2 linked regions of the Drosophila melanogaster genome follow. The protein of the gene in region 2 interacts with the protein of the main gene of each other region in a pairwise test. Each region holds a gene or a part of one and is shown on either strand. Other genes may lie near its edges.

What was found.
Region 1: the proteins of LManVI (region 2) and CG16972 interact in a two-hybrid assay, tested with the Drosophila melanogaster proteins (one large-scale study listed by BioGRID).

What each region holds. Positions count from the first base shown.
Region 1 is NT_033779.5:13,195,003-13,207,524, forward strand, and holds CG16972 (uncharacterized protein), read right to left. Parts: upstream 8,294-12,522; 5' UTR 7,999-8,293; coding exon 7,542-7,998; intron 7,407-7,541; coding exon 5,709-7,406; intron 5,653-5,708; coding exon 3,601-5,652; intron 3,542-3,600; coding exon 3,343-3,541; intron 3,281-3,342; coding exon 2,554-3,280; 3' UTR 2,100-2,553; downstream 1-2,099. Other genes in the region: Edem2 (ER degradation enhancer, mannosidase alpha-like 2), read left to right, coding at 131-402, 579-677, 748-1,269; Pect (phosphoethanolamine cytidylyltransferase), read left to right, coding at 9,188-9,270.
Region 2 is NT_033779.5:8,775,474-8,785,869, reverse strand, and holds LManVI (lysosomal alpha-mannosidase VI), read left to right. Parts: upstream 1-4,617; 5' UTR 4,618-4,683; coding exon 4,684-4,767; intron 4,768-5,013; coding exon 5,014-5,384; intron 5,385-5,445; coding exon 5,446-5,916; intron 5,917-5,977; coding exon 5,978-6,893; intron 6,894-6,957; coding exon 6,958-8,139; 3' UTR 8,140-8,209; downstream 8,210-10,396. Other genes in the region: CG42710 (uncharacterized protein), read left to right, coding at 3,467-3,973; LManV (lysosomal alpha-mannosidase V), read left to right, coding at 9,674-9,754, 9,817-10,187, 10,247-10,396.

The sequences.
Region 1 (12,522 bases), 4.4 Mb from region 2:
AGTAATTCCATCTATAGGTCTGGAAAGGTTTCAATTGCTTATTTGCAACAATTTCTTTTGTCTTTAACGTACTGATAGTCTAGTTGGCCATTTGAAAGAACTACTATTCATGTTTTCCATTCTTTTACAGGCTTTCGCCAGACGGACGAACACAACGTACTCGACTTCATGCGCACCTGCCCCAGTTCAAATAGGCTTTTTCCTGAAAAAGTACGCAAACCACTGCGCAACTTCATTACGGGCTCGTGCCCTCGCACCACAGCGGGAAAGCGACTCAGCGCCCTGGATTTTCAGGCAAGCAATGCAGATCATCTTCGAGCTGTTTACGACATGGGCATTACCATGGTTTCGGTAGGCGACCGCAGCCAAGGCAAGGTGCGACTGTTTCATAGTTTCTATAATGTAAGTTTTTTTCTGTTCTGCTTTTTGGTTTCGTTTGCATTTAGTTTGACACTCTGGTTGGTAACCATTGTGCCACCAGTTCCTCCTCGATCTTTCGCTTCCTACTCTTCCTTCTCATCATCATCAGCACACAGATCGTAGAAAAAATATAATAATATAAATTCGACTTTATTCAGGCCAAAAGTCACGAGGAGGGCGAAATGGGACTGCAATTTATGCAGGAGATGCTTGAGCTGACCAAGATGCAAAGCATAAATCAGCTAGCGCAACTGCAGGTTTGCATGCTTTATACATTTTAAATGGAAATCATCATAATGATATTTGAAATGGTTTTCTCGTTTATAGGCCGTTGCCTACGCCACTGACGAGAACTCACAGGATTGGATCGCACTGATGGCCGGGCCGTCGCACTTTAGCCCAGAGTTAACTGGCGATCAGTTCGTCGAAGGGGACGTGATTCTGGCCAAGCCGCTACGAGCATGCGATGAGAGCCTAGAGAACGCCGAGGAGGCGAAAGGAAAGGTCCTGGTGGCCGAGCGCGGCGATTGCACGTTCGTTAGCAAAGCGCGACTGGCCCAGAAGGTGGGGGCGGCGGCGCTGATTGTCTGTGATAATGTTCCGGGCTCTTCCGGTGAGACGCAGCCGATGTTCGCAATGTCTGGCGACGGCAAGGACGACGTGCTCATTCCAGTCGTATTCATGTACAGCATGGAGTTCGGCAAACTGTCGGCGGTCATGCAGCGACGGAAACAACCTCTGCGTGTTCGCGTCATGCAGATGGTGGAGTTTAAGCGGTGGCAACTGGCCAAGGAGCAGCGCCAGAACCAAACAGCGTCGGTAGCACAGAAACCGGAAAAAGAATTGTAGTGGACTGCTACGGCTGCCGGAGCACCCTCAGCGTTTACTCTTCTTTTGGGGCTTGATACAGCCTTGAAATGGTTCTCGCCAAAATAGAGATATGTATATTCTCTATATTCGTAACGTGTGTACAGTAAGCGAACGTAACTAAATTGGAATTTCCTGTACTTTACTAGACATGTAAGAGCGATTTAATGCCACGAGTTATGGAACTCAGTTTAGGGATCTTTGCATTTCGTGGTTGGTTCTCAGGCAGGCAATTGGCTTCCTAGTGGCTATATTATAACCGAATAGCATCGCATTCGCGTTCATTCTAATTGTATATTTGGTCCACCTCACAATTTTTTCGATGGATTTTACTTTTTTGATGTAAGTAAAACTTCTGTATATAAAAACTTAGAACTTAGAGACTAACAAAATCGTAAATAATGATTAGTTTTAAGAAGTTAGTTTATAGGGTAGACAGTCGGAATTGATCGACAACAGAGTAGTTGAAATTGATTAGATATTATACAAAATTAGTTTAAAATATACGAACTATAATTAAAAACCAAAGGCATTTTCGTTTTATCATTAATACTCAAGAGCCAGCTATGATTTTACCCCTGAGATCTTATAGGATTAACCTTCCCTTGTACTCCAATACACGAAGATCTCGGTGACCGGCTCATCCATATAATCAAGATTCAACTGAAGTAAAAAACCAACTTCGTTAGGATGCGAGTCCAAAGGCAGTCTCGAAATCCGTGATCGAGTATTATAAACCAAATTATTGTGGATGACAACATATCTGTGAATCGACTAGATGCAATTGATGCAAACAAAAACGTTGTATTTTTAATAGATTTCCGTTTTAATGACATTAATTTCTTTCCATTTTGGTGTTTCCATTAATCTTAAAAATATGACAAATTTACTACTTCAGTCGATAGTAGCAAATCAAACAGTTGAATTCATATGCCTAAAACTACGATAGCTTAAGCTAGTTTTGTTTTTCTTTTAGAAAAAATAAAAAGAACGAAAGAAACAAAAACACTTATTTCAAAATAGCGCATAATAAAGGCTACTACTCTCCGACTTACTTACGACTAAAATGATTGTTAGGACTACAGGGCTTAACACGCAACTTATTATAGTTTCCTATATTTGAACTATACTTGGGCAGACAGCCAAAAGCACATTTATAGATCGGGTATTCTGGGTGATATTCAAACATGGGTTTGTGTGAAAAAAAAAAACAAAAACTTTGTTCAAGGCCGAGACTCTCCACATTTCTAGTTCCGCGACACAGGTCTACGCCGATTGGGTCTGCTGGACAGCCAATTTCAACATGTGATTGGCGATACTATCTACAGTTAGGGATTGCGGGGACATCTCGATCACTTGGGACTTGTGGCGGGCATAAAAACGCTGAGCTCCATTGATTTGCGGCGCCAAATAGGTTAGCTGTCTCGGATCGGCGGCACTTATCCAGGCTTCGTCGTTCGATGCTGACTTGATGATCAGATGATCACCGGTGTTAACGCCCTCCGTGGCATCGTCGAATTGCGGCGATGGTAAGCGGTGGACCTGCAGCAGGCGGTGCGAGGGCGTGGCATGGGAAAGCTCACAGGCGATCACATGCACCTCAGACGGTTTGTTTGGTTCTTTAAGCAGCTGATAAAGCACCAGCATGCTGCTTTGGTCCAAGTCGAGGCTAGGATAGTGCGTAGCAGCCAGGCAACGGCCCAGCGGCCGGCCCAAGTCGTAGTTCATCAGAGTATCGCCGCTGCGATGATCCCAGACGGTGATGCGCATCTGGCCGTAGCCGATAAGGCGATCCTCTGAAAGGCACTCAATGTGACGCAGCTCGTGGCGCAACTGCTTAAACTCCCGTATGGAGGCCAGCGTATCCAGCGTGGGCGTCAGTGAATATTTGCAAATGCCCGAGCGCGACTTGCCCATCACCAGTTCCTGCTGCCATGCCATAACGAAGTAACGCGAATCCGCTATAGTTGTGTATATGACATGCGGCCATTCGCTAAATAACGAAAGTTGTAGGTTACGTCATTGAATTTATGCATACTGCGTGATAGTCCTCACCAATTGACAGCATCCAAGTGCACAGAGTGCATACGGGGTCGTAGTTCCTCCTCGCAGAAGTAATACACATTCACATGTAGCGAGGTTAGCTTCACCTCCCTCTTGTGATGGTCCAGCGGCCTGCTTCGCATTTCCAGGTACACCGGCGTCGAATTGTGCACGCAAATGCGGCTGCCAAACGGCGTAAAGATCTCTTTCTCTGTAATGCATCAAAGAGGCTAGAAAGATTCGTAAAGTGTATAAATGATCATAACCCACCGCTAGTCAGGCGCCGCACTCTGCCCAGGTAAACCCATCGCGGGCCCATTTTCAACTCCTGCTCGACGTCTTTGGGCTCGCGCGAAGGTGTTTGAGGCAGCTTTGGAGATGGAGATTTTCTGGCGCCATCAAAGGAGGGATTATGTCGCGGTTGATGCAGCACGTTGAACACTTTGGAGTACTTCCAGAAGGTAATGCAATTCTCCTGCAGCACAATGAGCTGTTCCAGCTCGTAGTACATATAGAGAACCTGGCCGTGCTTGGCAGAAAGTGGATTTGCTAGCGTCGCGGATCCCTGACTGAGTCGCAGCAGGCCCCCAGGAGGGGTGGCCAGGACTAAGTCAGCTGGATTGACTTTTCCGGCTTGCTGGCGAGGGCGATGTGGCTCCGTATTCGGTGGCGGTGTTGTTGGGGATGGCGGGTAAATAAGCACGGGCTGTGCATAAGGCGATTGAGCGACGGAGGGGGAATGAACGAAGGTCTTGTCAGCGGCTTCTTTGGCTGTGGAGTTGACCAGATGGCTGTGTGTAGGCGCGAATGTGTTGGGCACTTCTGGTGCCAGGTCAGCGAGCCTCAATACATTGGCATTAGGAACGGCTGCCACAGGCTCAGTCACCCTTTCAATATTCGAAGGCAGTGACTTGGCTCGTGCTCGCTTGGTCCGTTTAGTAAGGCGACTAGATTTCATTGCACTTGTCGTGTCAGTTTCAGTCTCCTTGACACCTTTCATCTTTCGGGGAGAGTTTGGCGGAGCCAATTGCTGTTGCTCCAAGCGATGTTGCTCAGGAAGACTTTTATCTGCCGGCTTCTTTAACGACGTCCGTGCTGCCTTGGGCATTGGAGCCTTTTTGGTGGTTTGTGCTGCACCGCCAGCCATCCGTTTCGATCGTCCCTGAGCCATTTCGTCCGACAGGGCGTAGCTCTTGAGCAGACTAACCTTGCGGCTACGAAGTAGCTTCGAATTAAGATGCGTGGTGGAGCGGGTAACCAAATCGCGTGCACGTGCTTCGTTCCCGAGACTGGATGCACCCATTGTAGTGCGGCGTCGTGGTGTAGCGGCAACAGGTTTGGTGGCTCCATGGGTTTTCCTATGTTTTGATTTTTTGGGTGTATCAACTGGTAAGGGGGCTGGAGTTTCCTTATCTGGACTGGTTATTGTAGGACTTTTCTTCGCTGGCTGGGAAATGACAGAAGGATGCGGCGCGCTTACGTCACCAAAGCCGCCGATTAAGTTCAAGGGCGCCGGTGAGATGTGAGACTCCTGCCTGCTGTGTGATGGATTCGGGGGCGAGGCATTGCTTGTAGCCTTAATAATATAAATTGATGGCTTCGTCTCACGCGCCTGGCGCAAGCGTTGCTGCATGCTCTCCAGCAGCTTGGATTGGGCAGGTGCGGCAGCCTCGAAGATCTTAGTAAAAGCCGCCTCAACGGACTGAACCCGACCCTTCTCAGACTCATTGTCTATCTGATGTTTCTGATAGCCGTCGCCATCAATGATGGATCTATGACGTTGCGGCTCCTGTCCTTTGAGCGATGGACGCCTCTCTACATCCTTTAAGGACTTGGAACTGGCTATAAAGTCGGTGGTTTTGGGTGACCTCTTCGTAGAGCATTCTTCCTCTTCCGCAAAATAAGAGTTGTACAAGTGATTCAGTTTTCGCTTATGCTCTGCAGGCATTTGAGAGTTGAAATGGACATCCGCATCCCCCGCCATCCTTGAAACGGATTCTGATGTCTGAGGCGGGGAGGGTTCTTCTTTATCGGTGCTAAGCTCACTACTTGTGGTCAACGGTATCTTCTTGTCCTTATCCTGCTGCCTATCTCGCTCCCTTTCGCGCCGCTTGCCACGCACATCACTACGCATCCTGTCCAGTTGCTGTTGTGGTCTCACCCGCAGCGATCGGCGAGGGATAGTGCTGTTGGCTAGTTCCCTCATTGCGGTAGCCACGGCATTTGCTGTTGACAGTTCGGTGAGACCCAGATAGTTGCAGAATTCCTGTTGCTCATTCGGATACTTAACGTAAGGCCCCTGATTCCCTTCCATTTGCATCTCTGTAATTTAAATTAACCAATTAAATTTGCAATAAAATACAAATAAAAAGTCTTACGTTGGGGAGCCTGTGGCAGTTCCTCGTAGTGATACATCTGTGGTTGTTGGTTCATCTTTTGCTCCATAAACTGCTGTTGCTGTTGCATTGTTTGCACCTGCTGACGCATAACATCTAATACAGCTTTGGTTAGTTGTTGGTCTTCTGATGGCCCACGGTCGCTTAAGTTCGCCTGCATAAAATCAGTAAGTCCTGCCGGAGCAGTTGGACAAGGTTGAGCATGGGATAAGGATGCGTCTAAATTCGCAGCGGATGAACCCGCCGTTTGAGTAAGCGCGCTTCTCTCCAAGTCTGCTGTAGATGTTTCCTTGGTAAGGTTCCGCTGCTCGAAATTCGGTGAATCCGTGTTCTTTATGTCATCAACAACTGGCAGCACTATCTCTTCTTCCTCCGGCTGTTGATTATCCTGTAGCTCCTCTTCGGGTATCAATGTGGTGACAGAGGCTTTTTCCATGCCGACCACCTCGTAGCAATCGTCGTCATCATCATCTAGCACAATTGTCTCCTCGGTGGGCAGAATGTGCAAATAGCGACGATACACCGGCCGTTCCGCCGACTGAGAGCTGGCAAGCTCTTGAGTGGATTCGTCTGAGGTTTGCATGATTTCACGGCTGATCTTCTCCATATTCCGGACCAGTGCTTCACGGAATTCGGCAAAGTTAAGCTGTTTGAGTGATGCGGTAACAGCCTCATATTGCTTGAAGGCAGCTTCAAAGCCTTCCACATCCTCGACATCGGCCCACTCTTCCCTGGGTGCCGTTTCCCAGTTGGAGACTTTCTCGGCGGGACTCATCTGCGGCTGAGCCTGACAAATGCTTGCCAGTCTTCGATCCATAGCCTCTCCATGGAGCGTATTCTTCATCAGCGGCGGATACTTTCGCTTCAGTGGAGCCACTTTGGATGGAGAGCGGCCGCCCGTTAACTCATCCTCATAGTCGTAGTGGTCACTGGCGTTGGGCATGGAGGATGAGCTGACGGGAAATTCCGTGGGACTGCTGTGTTCGCGAAGCAACTTTCTTTGCGGATTATTTGGCAGCGGCTCCTGTCCCTCGAATGCTACAATGTCGATAGGCTGGGCTGGTTCTTCCTGGATGACTGCGTCCTCGCATTCTTCATCGTCGTGGTCCTCCAGTTCGTGATCATACACCTGACAAATATCTGGGCGTTCCTCCTCCATCGGTGTATCGTCTAAGAATGTGGCGTTTTCGTTTTCCTCCGGAGCCTCGTCGTCGACCAGATCCTGGTGCACTAAAGGCTGTTCTAGCGCTGCATCACTAAGGTACACATTGTTTCCAGCCGCCAATCGTGCCTCGGCCACACCCATATCCTCCACGACCTCCTCGATGTAGGCAGTCCCATTGAGACACTCATTCGCATCACTCTCCTCGGACAGCAAGCCCAGCAATGCACCGGTACCGTTTCCGGCCATCATGATGGCCCTGGCGAACTCCTGCTCGCATGCCACTCCCTGGGTAGCTACTATGATCTCACAGCAGTGTTCTTCTCCTAAAACGACCATGTTCTCTCCATCCACAGCCTCATAGATCACACACTGCTCCCCTTCTTCGGCCACCTGAAGTTCATGTTCAGCCTCATCATTCTCGTGGGACAGCATTTCGAACTGGTCAACATTGCCATTTGTCAGCAGCATGCCGGGGCTTAGTGCAATGCCCGGATCCTGGACAGATTCGGGTGAGTCTAAAAAACAAGAAAAGTATGCGATTGAGTGAGTTTACCATATTAGATATTTCATATTTTCAATTGGGATAAATGTTCATAATCAATTAAATGGAAGAGATTTCCTTGTATAGTTAATGGAACAGATTAACAAACCGTTGATCTCGATGACCTCGTGGCTGCTGTACGAACGTTTTGCCGGTGTGCAGGTGGCCCATACTGGGGCTTGGTGTGTCTCTTCGGTCATCATCATTTGCCGGCGAAGTCCGAATATTAAGGGTTCATTCTGAGGGACGAAACTGGAAGACGGCTGCTCCTCCGGCCAGCCCTTGAAGCCGCTGCCACTCGAGATAAAGCTGTGGGTGTCCGAGTCGTCGGAGATCACGTGCAGGTTGCTGTCCACGGCGGGGTCCAGATCTGCTCCCGTCCTCGAGGATCTGGTGACAGATGCAACAAGATCCGTGGGATACTCCCGATCCTCAGCCACGTCCGATGCGTCGCCTGGAGCTTCGCTGGCCGTATCTATCTCGTCGCCTTCCAGCGGCGAGTACCGGTTCAGTAGGTGTTCCTCCGCCGCTACGTAGGCCATCAGGCTGGCTTCTCTTCTGGACATCGCGTTGGTACGGGGAATGGGATTGGGATTATCTAGCCCTCGTCGACTCGTTTAGTAATTGTGGTAGGATTTCTTGTAAATTTAGCACGTGAAATTTAAAAAATATACTTGATGCTGTCTACAAAACAATGCCCGAACTGACTGTGGACGATCATGATTACATTATCATGGCTTGGTCGGTTTCCTTCGATTGTTATTTTTCGTATATCTGCGTGCTGTGCGTTGTATATTTCTTATTTGATAGGCTTAATATTTTAAGTTGCTTTATCCTGTGTGACCGTGGGAAACACCGTAGTATTATCTCACATCGCCATGGCCAATATGCCTCTTAAAATACCATCGGTATTATTTTTACAGTGGGATCAATCAATAAAATATACCTTTAAAATGAAAAAAAAAATTTTAATTGTGAATGTTATTAGTAGTGTTCGTTGTTTAATTCTATGACACTTTTTTTTTAATAATTGTTGTGACAATATTTACATTTATTTATAAACAAAACACTTTGTTATATCCTAAAATATTATACATTTCATTGGGGTGATCGACTCATAAGGATTTAATAGAGTTAATACCCTTTTAACGTATAATAATACAGATTTGTACTTGCTTAATATAAAAGTTCTAGCTTAGTAACATAAAATTTGCCAATTTAAAGTTATTCCCAATATATCTCGATCAGCTGTTGATGTTTACAAAATCCGCGTTAGCTGGTATTCATCGCACCAGGCATATGGTATATTTGGACAAACACCGATGCGGCCACTCTGCTCTCACGGTACTCGAAATTGTGAGAAAAGAAATGAAAGAATCTAAAAAAAAACCCAAGCTAAACACACCGCACTTACGCCCCAAAGAAGTTCCCATGCGCCCGCGCGCTGATAACGCAAGTCTGAGAATCTGAGACCAATTCCGCTCCGAGTCTGAACGTGAATCCGAGTCCGAAACCGATAACGAAAACTGAACTGAGTAGCTCGGTCGTGAAATGGGAATTGATATATAGCGGGCGTCGTCGTAGCTCAGAACAAATAACTTACAGCTCTCGAAGCGTGAACGTCGCTGTCGTCGAGTTTCCGCCTTCAAAACGAGCACTGAAAACAGAAACATACTCTCCGGAATCTAATGTTCGCCCGTTAGCCGGATTCTAAATTAAAATTAAATTAAATTGTGAAAATTCAATAAGTCAACGATGGAGGCAAATGGCGATACCAGCGCCTGCAATGGGTATTCGGACAAGCAGCGGAAGGATGTGCGCGTCTGGTGCGATGGATGGTGAGTCATCTACATTACATTTAGGGGCCTCCAGGAATTCGGTCCACAATGTCTAACGGTTCTTAGGGCAGCCCATTGCGTCACGTCGTTACTCACCGCTAACGGTAAAGTGAGTCAAAGCATAACCATTCCGCGTCGGTGCCATCGATTCCATGCCACACCACGGCCAACCGAACCCTACTATTTCAATTCCAATTTGGTTTCCAATACCAATAACCGTAATCAGTCGACGATAAACTAAACCCCATTTTTAGGCGTGCTAAGAAGCGTCCAGGGTTCCTCAATTGATTAGCAAATCTTTGTGAAACGGTGCCGTCTCGCTGCCCGTTCCAAATATCCACCCATTGCCGTCGTCCGGCTGAAATGTCTACATAATTCAGGTTCAAGGTCTCTCGGATCCGAAATGTCCATATTCTCCACGCTTGACCGGGACATTTGGCATTATATTTATATTTATACGCTATGCAATCTATTTATAATTGTACGCTTACAGTGGCTATTCTAAAACAGATTACTCAGAGAAAATGTTTAATTTGCCTTTTCCGGCGATACTCGCACTCTTTATGGCGCTTAAGCTAACAACAATACATATATCCCAAATTAGTTTGCACAATAATTAATTGCTATATGTGATAAACCGGGTGTTCGGTTCATCTAATGCATCTATGTATTTTAGATCCGCATATAGATACTATTGACGCACTTTGCCTTGTTTTGGGCACCATCAAATGGTTCTATAGGCATTGCGTTCCCCCATATATATATATATATATAATTATTTGATTCCGTGCAATGCATCATCAGAAACCGGTTTATCTTTATCGGTAATGACGCGTTAGACTGCGATATGGACGGATGGATAGATGGCCTACCATAACAAGTTTGCTTCATTGGGGGACGATAGAAATTTCCTCAATTGTGGCTACCGCCAGTCGGTAAAAATAAAAATATACCCATTGTTTATATGCGCCCTCGCTCTTTCTCTTATTTCCTTGTATTTCTACTCACCGTATAAACAATGGCACACGCCCAACAAGCAAATGTACATACATATATGTGCCATATACATGTGCTCTGGCTAACCCACTGTATCTGAACAGCCTGCCTTTCCTTCCGCTCTTCTGTTTTTGAGGCTTCAGATTTTCGGATGAGGGCTGCGTTTACGTGGCCCTTGTTGACTGTGGCTGCCCGCCGGTCGTCCGTCCGCAAACATCACGTGATTCTGGCATGCGCATGCCCTCCGCCTCGGCGATGGACCCCACACCCCTTTTGCACCACCATCATTGCCATTGCCTCGCCATTGACCCACAATGCTGTCGTCATCGTCTGGCGGTCTTTTGTGTGCCCAATTTAATTGGCATTTCGCTGGGCCTCTCCTGTACTGACTAAATAATCGCAAGGGATCGTCTTTATTTTAAAAGGGTTTTTTAAACCATATCCATTTATTATTAAGAGGTGGTTCAATCTTATAGTATACTTCTGCCTAAGCAAAAACATACATATGGCAAAACTTTTAGAATCCAATTGCGAATGCCCTGAAGCAAGATTAGAAAATGTCACCTAATTTATGGATTTAAACCTAAAACATATACATCATGCTCATTGGCATTTCCGGGTAATTTTGGCAGTCTATGCTCCCTTATGTCCATTGTCAACGGGTCACAGCTCCCTGTCACCAGTGTGGAAGTCCTCTAGCTGCGACAGATAAGAACGACCTACGTAGTCGTGCTCCAATCGCTGAAATTCCACATCAGCTGCTCATGGGCACGAACAACAAGTATAAACATAATATTTGCGTGGAATCTGATGGAATCTGATAACCCATCAGATGGGGAAAGCACGTATGTATGTGGGGCACTTGGACCCAAAAATCATTCTAATCAGCAGAGATTGATCATTGACGCAGGCACAAGTGCTTGGCTTGTCTCCTCCTTTCCACCCAAGTCAATGAACCTCTGCCAGTGGAAATAACAAATGAATGGGAAGCTCTCGTAATAAGAGAGTCCGGGGCCTTAAGGCGGGGCATATATGTACATGTGTGCTGTAGTATAAGATCTATGTATATGGCATACTTTACCCCACCAAGTCAATCCACTTTACTAGGCTCTGGGGTCCGGACGACAGAGCACAAATTCTACGGAGAATCGCGTGATATTTTTTAATCAGCAAACGGGCGTCGGCGTTGCTGTCGCTGGTGTTGTCGCTGCTTTTAGCTCACTCAATTGATTAAGCGGCCCCTGGGTCTGTTCTACATATAGAGTACAACAATGCTAATATGGGTATAGTATGTTCGGCACAGATTTCTTGGTGCGCTGCAAAAAAATCTCCGGGAGCAAAGGTTTCGCTTCGATTAATGAATGGCCCACGTTTTTACTAGCTGCTTTTTATGGTGGTGGTCATCTCTCCGCATTTGTTACTATCTGGGCAAGTCAAGGGACTAGCTGGCATAATCCATCTTTTATTTTTAGGCGTGCATGCAGGGGCATTGCATTTCATTTAAATTTCATTTCAGTTAAAGATCCAGTTTGTTTTGAGTACAACTATTTTCTTGGGAATTCTCTAATCTTCAATGGAAGCAGTACTTAAAATACTTTCCGTCTATCTATTTCAAATGAACTCCTCACAATCGATTACCGAAGAAACCGTCGATGGTGACGGTATTATTTCTTATCACCCGCCATTTAGTTAAGTGGTTACCTTTTGCATGTTATGTTAAAAAATGTTTGCACAAAGCCCGCTGGGTGAATCATTTTCCAAAAGAGCAGGTTTCAATATGAATTATTTTATAAATACTTACAATTACAATGTACCTATGGTGGAAAAAATAAATACCTTCATAATTGGTGTTAAGTGCAATTTGTGCAACGCCTCACGTCCCCCGGATGCTATTATCGCTTTCCCAAGCCAAACAAAAACCAGGCCAGGGCACGTGTGCCTATAACCATAATGCCTAGAATCGGCGGAGAATGTAAACAAGCTGAATGGCGATGTTTGCGTATATGTGGCCACTGAAAAGCTGACGCAGCAGCGTTCATAATTGCAATTAGAATTGCAAAACAACGAGCAGCAAATGCGGTTTTATTGATATCCCCTGTCCCGGTTGCTTCATCCATCTCTCTCTCGGCATTTTTGGCATACCCACTCTGATGATCGAGTCCAAAGATCAATCTCTTGACCAATGCTGGGCAAAAGTGGAGCACACAAACCGCCTCTATAGTCACCGGTGGTCAGTCCGTCAGCTACTGGTCATTA
Region 2 (10,396 bases):
TAATTTTCTTTGTTTTCACACTGACGTTTGAGGCCAAAAGGCGTAAATTAATCGAAGGCTTAATTAGCACACACCAAGCCAAGGACTCCACGATGACGATGATGGCTCGTTGAGTCGGCGTCAACGTGGCGTATGATTAATAAACAGCTCCCTGGCGGATAAATTCCCCCCCGCTGCCAATTCATGTTGTTGTTGTGTGCTGCACTAATTATAGGCATCAATGAAGGTGAAGGTTGTCAATATCGCCCGGCGCAACAGCCCGTCGCACTGGCGGTAGCAAAAATTTCCATTTGAAATGTTTTGTAGGTTGCGAAAACAATGGCCTGCCTCCGACGAGGTAATCCTACAGCACCACCCAATCCGCGTCCGCTTTTCTCGTTTTTTTTTTTTTTTTGTGCCATGAGTACTGAGTACTGCGGCAACGTAGTTGGCTGCCACTTAATGTGTTTTGCATACTAATTAGGTTGTTTGGCGGCTGCCGTCACATTTCAAGTGTTGAAACAGGTGACAGAAAAAAAGAGAGAAATAGAAAAACGACATTAGGAGCAGCAGGAAAACGAAACTCGTTGCTGCAACAGAACCAACTGCACTTGAGGCCAACACTTTGCGGGTGCAGCCAAGGAAAATGGCAATTGTTTAGATTAGGCTTAAGTAGTTGAGGAATGCGCTACTTGCAACGAAAGTTGAATCAACGGAAATTTCAAGCAACTCCTAAACAAAGTAACCAAATTACAGGGATCTCAATGGTCTCTAAGTAGAAGTTTTAGGTTAAAAAATTATTATTAAGTAATAGTCCTATCACTTTTCTTTATAATAACCGATGATTTCGTTTTCAAATTCAAGCGATTTTTAATTCCCATTTTCACGCGCTTCCGCCAGCTAATCAGTTGGCTTAAAAGGGCGCAATCTTTAATTACATTATAATTCTGGTTAAGTGTGCCATTAGAATTATCAATCGTCAAATCGAAACAATAAATTTTTGACAAATTGAAGTGCTTTGGGTTTTGTTTACCTATTTGATAAGGCATAACAAACAATGCAGATAACGATCAGGTGGCAACAAAAATACGTAGGAAATTAGTTGGTTCAGAAATTTAAATACAAGCCACTTCATTAGATTATAGTTATTATTGGAATACAAAATGTATGTACATAAGTAGCAGATCTGTGGCCTGACATGGCCCAACCCAAGCTCATCTGAAATTTATGCTTTATAATTTCAAAGGCATAGGACTTTCCGTGAAAATGCAGAACTGACTTGTAAGAAGCGCGTGGCTCAAAAACAACTAGAACATAAACAGCCAAGCAAGAAAGATGCAAAGTAAAAAATGTTTTAATTACTCATCTCAAGGCGAATCCGTAGCCCCCTTTGCCCTACGCTCCTGCCGATTGACGCTTCGAAGGGCTGTGGATGAGGTCAAACACCAAAGAAAGTTCATGAAATTAAATGAGTTTCTTAAAATATATCTTATTCTGAGCAATCGCAATTTTTTTTCAATTTCAATATCCGATTTAACAACTTTTAAAAATTCTTTTTCCTAGTGCTCTGAGTTCCAGATTAGCTCCAGTACTGCAGAATCGTCAAAGTTCTTCTCGCAATTGTTGCTGTAACACTCGAATGCCTCCATTCTGATATTTGCTCCCCGTTTGCCGCCGTTGTGTGCTAAATAGTTCCCCCAGGGCCGAATCCACTCGAGTCGTGCTAATGAGAACACCCCAGTGACAAGGAGATGCTCACAAGGACGAGCGAGTTCAGATGCCAAAGGAGGCCTTTAATGCACGTTGCTGCATTATGCAATACTCGAGCAGGACGAAACAATATTTTACTGCAGTGCCGGAGTGGAGCGAAGTGTTCCCTGCCAAGAACGAAATGAGGAGGTGTGCAGATCCTTAGCCAGGACCTGCGGCACTGCAGCGTGCTCCATTTGCACACATTTCGACAAGGCAATTAATTATGCTAAACTCGTTTAGAGAAGGACAACAGGCCCATGCAAAAGAACAAAACAACTTTTGAATTGTAAAATCAATATAAATAATAAAAGTAGTAAATGATTTTATTTCTTGTGAATTGTGTCCACAATTTCAACTTGGAGCGTCTCATTTATTTTAAGCTAAATAAATCAAAACCACAAAGAAATCTAAGAAAAATCATAAGCCCATTAATCTTTTTCGCATCCGTTTACCGCTCGAAAGGCTCCGTAATTCATCCCTGTAATGTTGCGTGGCGTGCGGAACCACCTTTGACCAACGCATTGGATGACTTTTGAGTGGATCTAAGGCGGAGATCTCTGGCCGGAACACTGAGGTCCTGACATTTGCGCTGGCCATGCGCAATTAATTACAAAAGTGTTTGCGGACAACTGGGCTGATGGGGTGTTTATCCTGTGAACCCCAACTGGACATGGCCATGAGGAAAGCCATGCTGGCTTTCTTTTTGCCAGCCAGCTAGCCAGCGTTTATGGGGCTCAAGTGGTCCAGAGACCGAGAGAAGCGGCAGCTCATTGCTTTGAGGTTATTTGCTTTTAATGACTCGCAAACTACACCCGCACACACGGCGTATGCGTCATGTGTGTGGACTGCTTAAGTGTTTTCAGATATCGCGCATCAGTAGCCAACGACAGTCAGCCCTGGGCCCCATGGTTTGTTGACTTTTAGACGCTGTTTGTTTGTCAGCACAATTTTGCTTTCCTGTTTTTTTTTTATTTTTCATGTTTTTTTTTTTTTGCCCATATTTGTCCCATGTACTTTTTGGCTTTTCATCTTGGCATCGACGCAGACAAGCGGCCACATAAATGAGCTTTGAAGTTTGCATACGCGAGTGCAGGCAGTGCAGTCTCACTGGCTGAAGGGATAATGCGACGCAATTATAGACGGAGACTGAGACTGGGTCCATGTCCACCCCAACCCGGTTATATCCTTGAAAATAAATTGTTTTGTTAATTATTTATGGTTGGTTTAATGAGTGTGTGCCGTTCGCTGTGTGTTTACTGTACTCAGTGTTCGCTGGCGGTCTGGGACGTCGACTTCCATGTGTTTGTTATACTTTTGCATTTTGCAATTATTTTAATGAGTTTTGCATTTAAGCGATTTTATGCAATCATCGTCATTCGCAATAGTGTTGACTGCGAAAAGGGATATGTGCATAAATACGAATGTGCTGCATAATTGCCGTTTTTGCTTCATTAAAAAATATGTCTTTATATGGTCGGCAGACTCATTAAAAGTTGAATATATTTTATCTCATTAAGTTCTTTCAGGTCTTTCATTAGTGCGTTTGATTCGGCTTGATCAACGAATAATAATGCCCATATATTTAAATACTTGCCACTAGTATAAACTTAGTAAAAGTCAGATATCCTTTTCCCTTGACATCTATTTACATCTATTTTGAGTACAAATATAGAACAAAAAAATCTGTATTTGAGGAATCCAAAATTGTTAGTGCGAATCGAATTGAGCTAAGATAATGGAAGAACTTGTAGATCTGGATGAACCTTATCTGTATATGATTGGCATACCGACTGAACTTCGCGTGCACTGGGCCTACATAGTTGATTTTCTACGCCCAGAAGAGAATCGTCAACAAATCAACGACCCAAATGTGGAATTAGTGCCCCTCTCACAACGGCAATACCGAGAAGAGACTACGGACTTGGAAGTGGTGCCCTTACCACAAGAGCCGAGCATTGACCTATCTGGTGCTGGCGATGGACACCACGTCATTCCCCGGATCGGTGATAACGAAATGCCGACTGTGATTATCTTTCTGCCCAGAATAATGCCATTACCCTGGTCCAGTTTAAAGCGTCTGAAGCCGGTGATCATTGCGGCCTCAAATATTCTCTTCAGAAAGATACTGTCCCATTTTGGAATCGATTTAAATCAAGTCTTTGCCCTCGGCTTGTCATACAATACCCATTTAACAATATTTCACTGCTTTATGGAATACCTTACATCCTGGATAACTGGGTAACATAATTTTTCAGTACCCAAATTAGCTTATAATGTTTCGAATTATACTGTTGTAAAGTGTGCATTCAAATAAAAATGACATAATTTTTATTTTTAATCAAAAACAAAACTCTTAATTGATTGCGATTACTGATTGGGTGTTTATGATAACAAATTCAAATCATTTGAATGTGGTCCTAATATTCAAAACACTCCTCAAGGTAATCAGGTACTCATGGGTCCCTGAAGGGCTATTAAAAAAGACCGAAAATAGACCTTTAGCCCCCCAAGTATCGTTTGGGGTCTGAATTTCTTGGTCTGTATGAAATAATAATCGGCACTACACCTTGGTACAAATTCATAAACATTGTATAAGAAGTACCATCGAGTAATCGTCAATGGGAACTCATTTTACTAATCGCAAGGCAGCGATTAGAACCAATTAAGATACCAATTAAGATATGCATTGACTGGCGATCGCGAATACACTGAACTTGAACTTCGTAGTTAGAGTATCAGGTTTTACCTAAGCTTTTGGTTATCGTTAAACCGTTTTATTGGCCTTAAGCCTTAGCACAAGCCTCTCGAGGGTCTAAAGTGATTGCTTATCAGGCTAAAACCGTGTGGGGCCCTCCTATAAAAGCAGTTCCAATTTCTAAAGAAAGTCAGTTCTGTTCTCGAATCGAAACTGTATTCGCGGTCAGTTCGAAAACAAATTGTAAAGTCGTCGCCATGAAGTATTTGTGCGGCATTGTGCTTTTTGTGGCCCTTTTGGCCATCAGTGTGAGGCCATCTGAGGAGGCTTGTGGATACGAGGTGAGAAGTGAATGCCAGAATGCGACAGGAATAGAATATATGTGAAATTTGAAAAGGATGTAAATACCGTGAAAGTGATTAAATAAATTTACATTCCTTTATGCTCAAAAAACGGCAACAAAAATGCTTAATGAACATGACATTTAATGTTCAGGTTGCTAATCATCAAACCGATTTTGTTTTCAACCATTAAATACTATGGACTAACAAACAACTAAACCATTCAACGTTTATAATGCTTTTCAGGCATGCCCCAAAACCAAGACGAACATGATCAACATTCACATGGTGCCCCATTCTCACGACGATGTCGGATGGCTGAAGACCGTCGATCAGTACTTCTATGGTCACAGGAGTAACATTCAGCACGCTGGTGTCCAGTACATCATCGATACCGTAATCGCTGAGCTGATCAAGGATCCCGCCCGTCGCTTCATTCAGGTGGAGACCTCCTTCTTCGCAAAATGGTGGGCGGAGCAGTCGGAGACTGCGAAGCAGGTCGTGAGGAAACTGGTCAACGAGGGTCGTTTGGAATTCACCGGTGGAGCATGGAGCATGAACGATGAGGCCGCTGTAAACTACCAGAGTGTCATCGATCAGTTCACCTTGGGATTGAAGTAAGTGTTGCAAAAGAGGGGTTATAATGTCAGGAATCTAATGGTTATATGTTTATACCAGATTCCTGGACGACACCTTCGGTTCCTGCGCCCGTCCCCGCATTGGTTGGCAGATCGATCCCTTCGGTCACTCCCGTGAGCAGGCCTCGATCTTCGCTCAGATGGGATATGATGGAGAGTTCTTCGCCCGTATGGATCACCGCGACAAGAACGACCGTATCGACAACTTGGGCATGGAAATGATCTGGGATGCCAGTGATTCGTTGAGCAACGATGAAATCTTCACTGGCCTCTTGTACCGTCATTACTCGGCTCCTCCCGGCTACTGCTTCGATGTCCACTGCGGTGACGATCCGATTATTGACACCAAGAGCTACGACAACAACGTCAAGTCCCGCGTGGATGACTTCCTTAGCTACGTAACTTCGGTGGCCCAGCACTACCGGTCTAACCACATCATGATCCCCATGGGTGATGACTTCCAGTACGAAGATGCCCAGGTCAACTTCAAGAACATGGACAAGCTCATCAAGTAAGTGCTGAGGATCTGGATGATTGCTTACCCATACTCATCCTTTTGACTCCACCCCTAGGTACGTTAATGAGCGTCAGGCCGAGGGCTCCACCTTCAACCTTTTCTACTCCACCCCCGCTTGCTACCTCAACTCGCTCCATGAAGGTCTCCAAACCTGGCCCAACAAGACCCAGGACTTCTTCCCCTATGGCAGTGACGACAACAGCTACTGGACCGGATACTTCACCTCGCGTCCCACCCAGAAGCGCTTCGAACGCGATGGCAACCACATCCTGCAGGTGGCCAAGCAGCTCAGTGTCTTCGCCGAGCTGAACACCAAGCAACAGAAGGAGGACCTGGAGTACCTTCGCGAGATCATGGGTGTGATGCAGCACCACGATGCCATCACTGGAACCGAGAAGCAGCATGTATCCGATGACTATGATCGCATTTTGTATGATGCCATCCTCGGAGGAGTTAACACTGCTCGCGATGGTCTGCGCAAGCTGACCAATCTTCCCAACGGAGAGTTCGAGAGTTGCCTGCAGTTGAACATCAGCGAGTGCGCCTTCACCAAGGACGATGCCGACAACGTGGTGGTGACCCTGTACAACCCATTGGCCCACACTTCTACCCAGTATGTGCGCGTGCCTGTAAAGAACGAGAACTACGAGGTGACCGATGAGAAGGGCCGTGTGGTGGCCTCCGAAGTGGTTCCAGTTGCCTGGCAGGTCCTGGCCCTGGAGTTCCGCAACAATGATACCCAGCATGAGCTGGTCTTTAAGGCTTCCGTTGATAAGATCGCTAACTACTACATTAAGAAGGTCGCCAGCCAGGAGACAAAGAACGTCGCTGCACACACTAAATCGAAGAGGTCCATCAAGGCTGAAGAAGCTAACTTGGAGGTGCCTAAGCGTTTCAAGAAGGTTCACTCACTGAAGAATGCCACTGAGACCTTTGACGACGATGAAGGAGAGACTGTGGTGCAGACTTCGGTATGTTAATGATTTTCAGTTAATTTTGTATCTAAAGTAACATTTTGATTCCTACCTTTATTAGCAAGTCAAACTGGTGATCGACAACAAAACTGGTCTTCTGAAGACTGTCGAAATGAACGGAGTATCCGAGAACATCGACCAGAGCTACGGTGTCTACAGGACCTATGACTCCGGTGCATACGTCTTCCGTCAATATCACCAGGCTGACTTCATCGTCCAGTACGAAGGTGTTGAGTTCACCGTTTATGATGGAGCATTGGTCAAGGAAGTCCACCAGCAGTTCAGCGAGTACATTTCCCAGGTTATCCGCATCTACGAGGGCAAGAACCTTGTGGAGATCGAGTGGCAGGTTGGACCCATTGAGCGGGAAGAAGAGTTTGGCAGGGAAGTGGTTATCATCTTCAATAGTACCATTGCCTCCGACGGCGTTTCCTACACCGACTCCAATGGCCGTGAGATGATCAAGCGTGTGAAGGACCAGCGTGAGACCTTCACTCCCGGTCTGGACAGGCAGCCAACTGCAGCCAACTACTACCCGGTCACATCCCGCATTGCTCTGCAGGACAGCAAGAAGCGTATTGCCGTCCTGAACGATCGTGCTCAGGGAGGAGCCAGTATGCTTAACGGTCAATTGGAGCTCATGCTGCACCGTCGTCTCGTCCGTGATGATGGCTATGGAGTGGGAGAGGCCTTGAACGAGGAGAAGTACGGCCAGCCCATGATTGCCCGTGGAAAGGTGTACCTGATTCTCAGCCCCAGCGATGAGTCCACCGCCGCGGAACGCGAAGCCGAGAAGGAGATCCACCTGCCCTTCTGGAAGTTCTTCAGCAAGAACACTGGAAGCACCACGGCTGCTGCCAAGTCCGTTCCCAGCTTTAACGACTTCCCCAAGTCGGTGCATCTGCTCACTCTGGAGCCCTTCAACGACGATGAGGTTCTGCTACGTGTGGAGAACTTCTTGGATCACACCGAGGGCCAAGTGGTTAGCTTCAACATTCGCCCGATCTTTGACTACTTGAACGGTGTCGAAATTCGCGAGACTACCTTGGACGGCAACTTGCCATTGAGTGACATGAAGCGCTTCAAGTTCCACCACGACAGCTCGGGACAGAAGCCAGATGCTGTTGAGTACTTCACCTCCGCCCACAAGCCACTGGCTGCTGAGCAGTCCCAGGAGGCCTCCGAGTTCAGCGTCACCTTGCACCCAATGCAGATCCGTACATTCATTATCAAGACGGAGTAAACCAACGTTCTCAATGCAGTATTTCATGAAATGTAAATAATTTAATAAATAAATTCAATGTCGAAAATCTAAAGCCTTCGTTGGTTAATTATTTACAGAATTAAGGGTCTAATTATGGACAATATATTTTATTGATATTAGGAAACTGATTAGCTAAACTTTATCATGGCTAAAGAAAGGAAATGTTTGATGTTCGGGCAATCGCTGCTAATATAGACTCCTCAATTTGACGTTTATTAAAACGTAAATATATAAAACTTCAGTTTTAATGCCAAATAAAACTCACTATGCAGCATATATTCCTTTGGTCTATTATTCGACTGAAATTTATTTTTATTAATTTTTTTGCATAAATAAAATCAGATTAGAATTAAGTGTTGATTTCGTATTATTCGAAATATAAATTCCGTTTCAAGTAAACTAAGGTTAACTCAAAAAATATTTTTATCGTTAAACTATTTGTAAACTTGATTCCCCACAGATTATTTAGTATCCGTATGCTATAAAGTGCGGATCGTGTCTTAGGCATTTTTCGTTTCATTACGTCATAAATATAAAAAGATTAGAATGGAAAGCCCTGACAGGACTACATTACGTCTTAAATATATGAAAATTTAAATGGAACGCCTAGATAACGCTAGAATTTATTTTTTTTTTCTCTCTTTTTATTTGCAATCTGTTCTAAAAAAGTATGACAATAAGTATATTTTATAATTAATCTTAAATTAACAGTAGGGATTAATGGTTAACTATTTCTATCCATTAATCCCTACTACCTCATACTCTATGCATAACATGTTTTAATACTTAATATCTGTCCGGGAGATCTAGCACGTTAAATCTTTTAAGTCTCCTTCTTTATTTAGAATTTAAATATTTTGGATCTCTACTTTTGTAGCTTAGAACTAACATTAGTAGAAACTTGAAAACAAGAATCCACGATAGTCGCATAAGTGCTTTGCTGCTAAGGAGAATTCAGGTCACCATGAGTGGTTTGTTGGCTTTGGATTATTCTATCGTTAGCCTTGATACTTCACTGTATCTCACTACCACTTTGCGTGGGTCTTTCCAATTTCCAAATAAAAGTAACTAATGTGTTGCTATAGAGCATGATACCTTCTGATAATTTCTAGTACAAACCCATAAATGGTCTTTTGGATGCAATCGGCAACTACAAATTGATATTACTAATCAGCAGATTAGCACTGCAACTCTGTCAAAACAGAAGCAATCTTTTATGGAGGCCTATTAAGATACAAGTTCAATAATGACCAGTAGTAGCAATAAGGTTCATTTGTTTATAAGTTAAACCATTGATCGAAGCGCAGGCGTCATTAAACCATTATGATTAAAATACACTTAACTGAATTTTAAGTGCGCTTGAGCTTACGTAATCCGATAATGCATTCAAGTACCGATTGCTTATCACCAATCTCTGATATAAATGGGCCAGTTTTCAAAACATAAGAATTCAGTTGTGGTTCTAACCTGGAACCATCAGTTACATCGATTTGTAAGATAGAGGAATACCACAATGAAGTTCCTGGGCATCGTCCTTTGCGTTGCCTTTTTGGCCCTTCAAGCTAAGTCAGCCCAAGCTGTTTGTGGCTATGAGGTGAGGAAAAGGATCCTTTTACACGAATTGTTTAAACTAATAAAATACTTATTGTTTTTTAGTCTTGCCATGAAACCAAGTCAAACATGATCAACATACACTTGGTGCCCCACTCCCACGACGATGTGGGCTGGCTGAAGACCGTTGATCAGTACTACTATGGCCACAGGAATAACATTCAGCACGCTGGAGTGCAGTACATCATCGACACCGTGATCTCCGAGCTGATCAAGAACCCCGATCGTCGGTTCATCCAGGTGGAGACATCCTTCTTCTCCAAATGGTGGAACGAGCAGTCGGAGACCATGAGGGCAGTCGTGAAGATGCTGGTGAATGAGGGTCGCCTTCAGTTCATCAATGGAGCCTGGAGTATGAACGATGAAGCTGCCGTAAACTACCAGAGTGTGATCGACCAGTTCACAGTCGGATTGAAGTAAGTTATGCCGGTATAACCTCTTTGGAAAAAAAATTGTAAAACCATTTTCATAAAAGGTTCCTCGATGACACTTTTGGAGTTTGTGGTCGTCCTCGTGTTGGATGGCAAATCGATCCCTTTGGTCACTCCCGTGAGCAAGCCTCTATCTACGCTCAGATGGGATTCGATGGCGAGTTCTTTTCCCGCATGGATCACAACGACAAAGG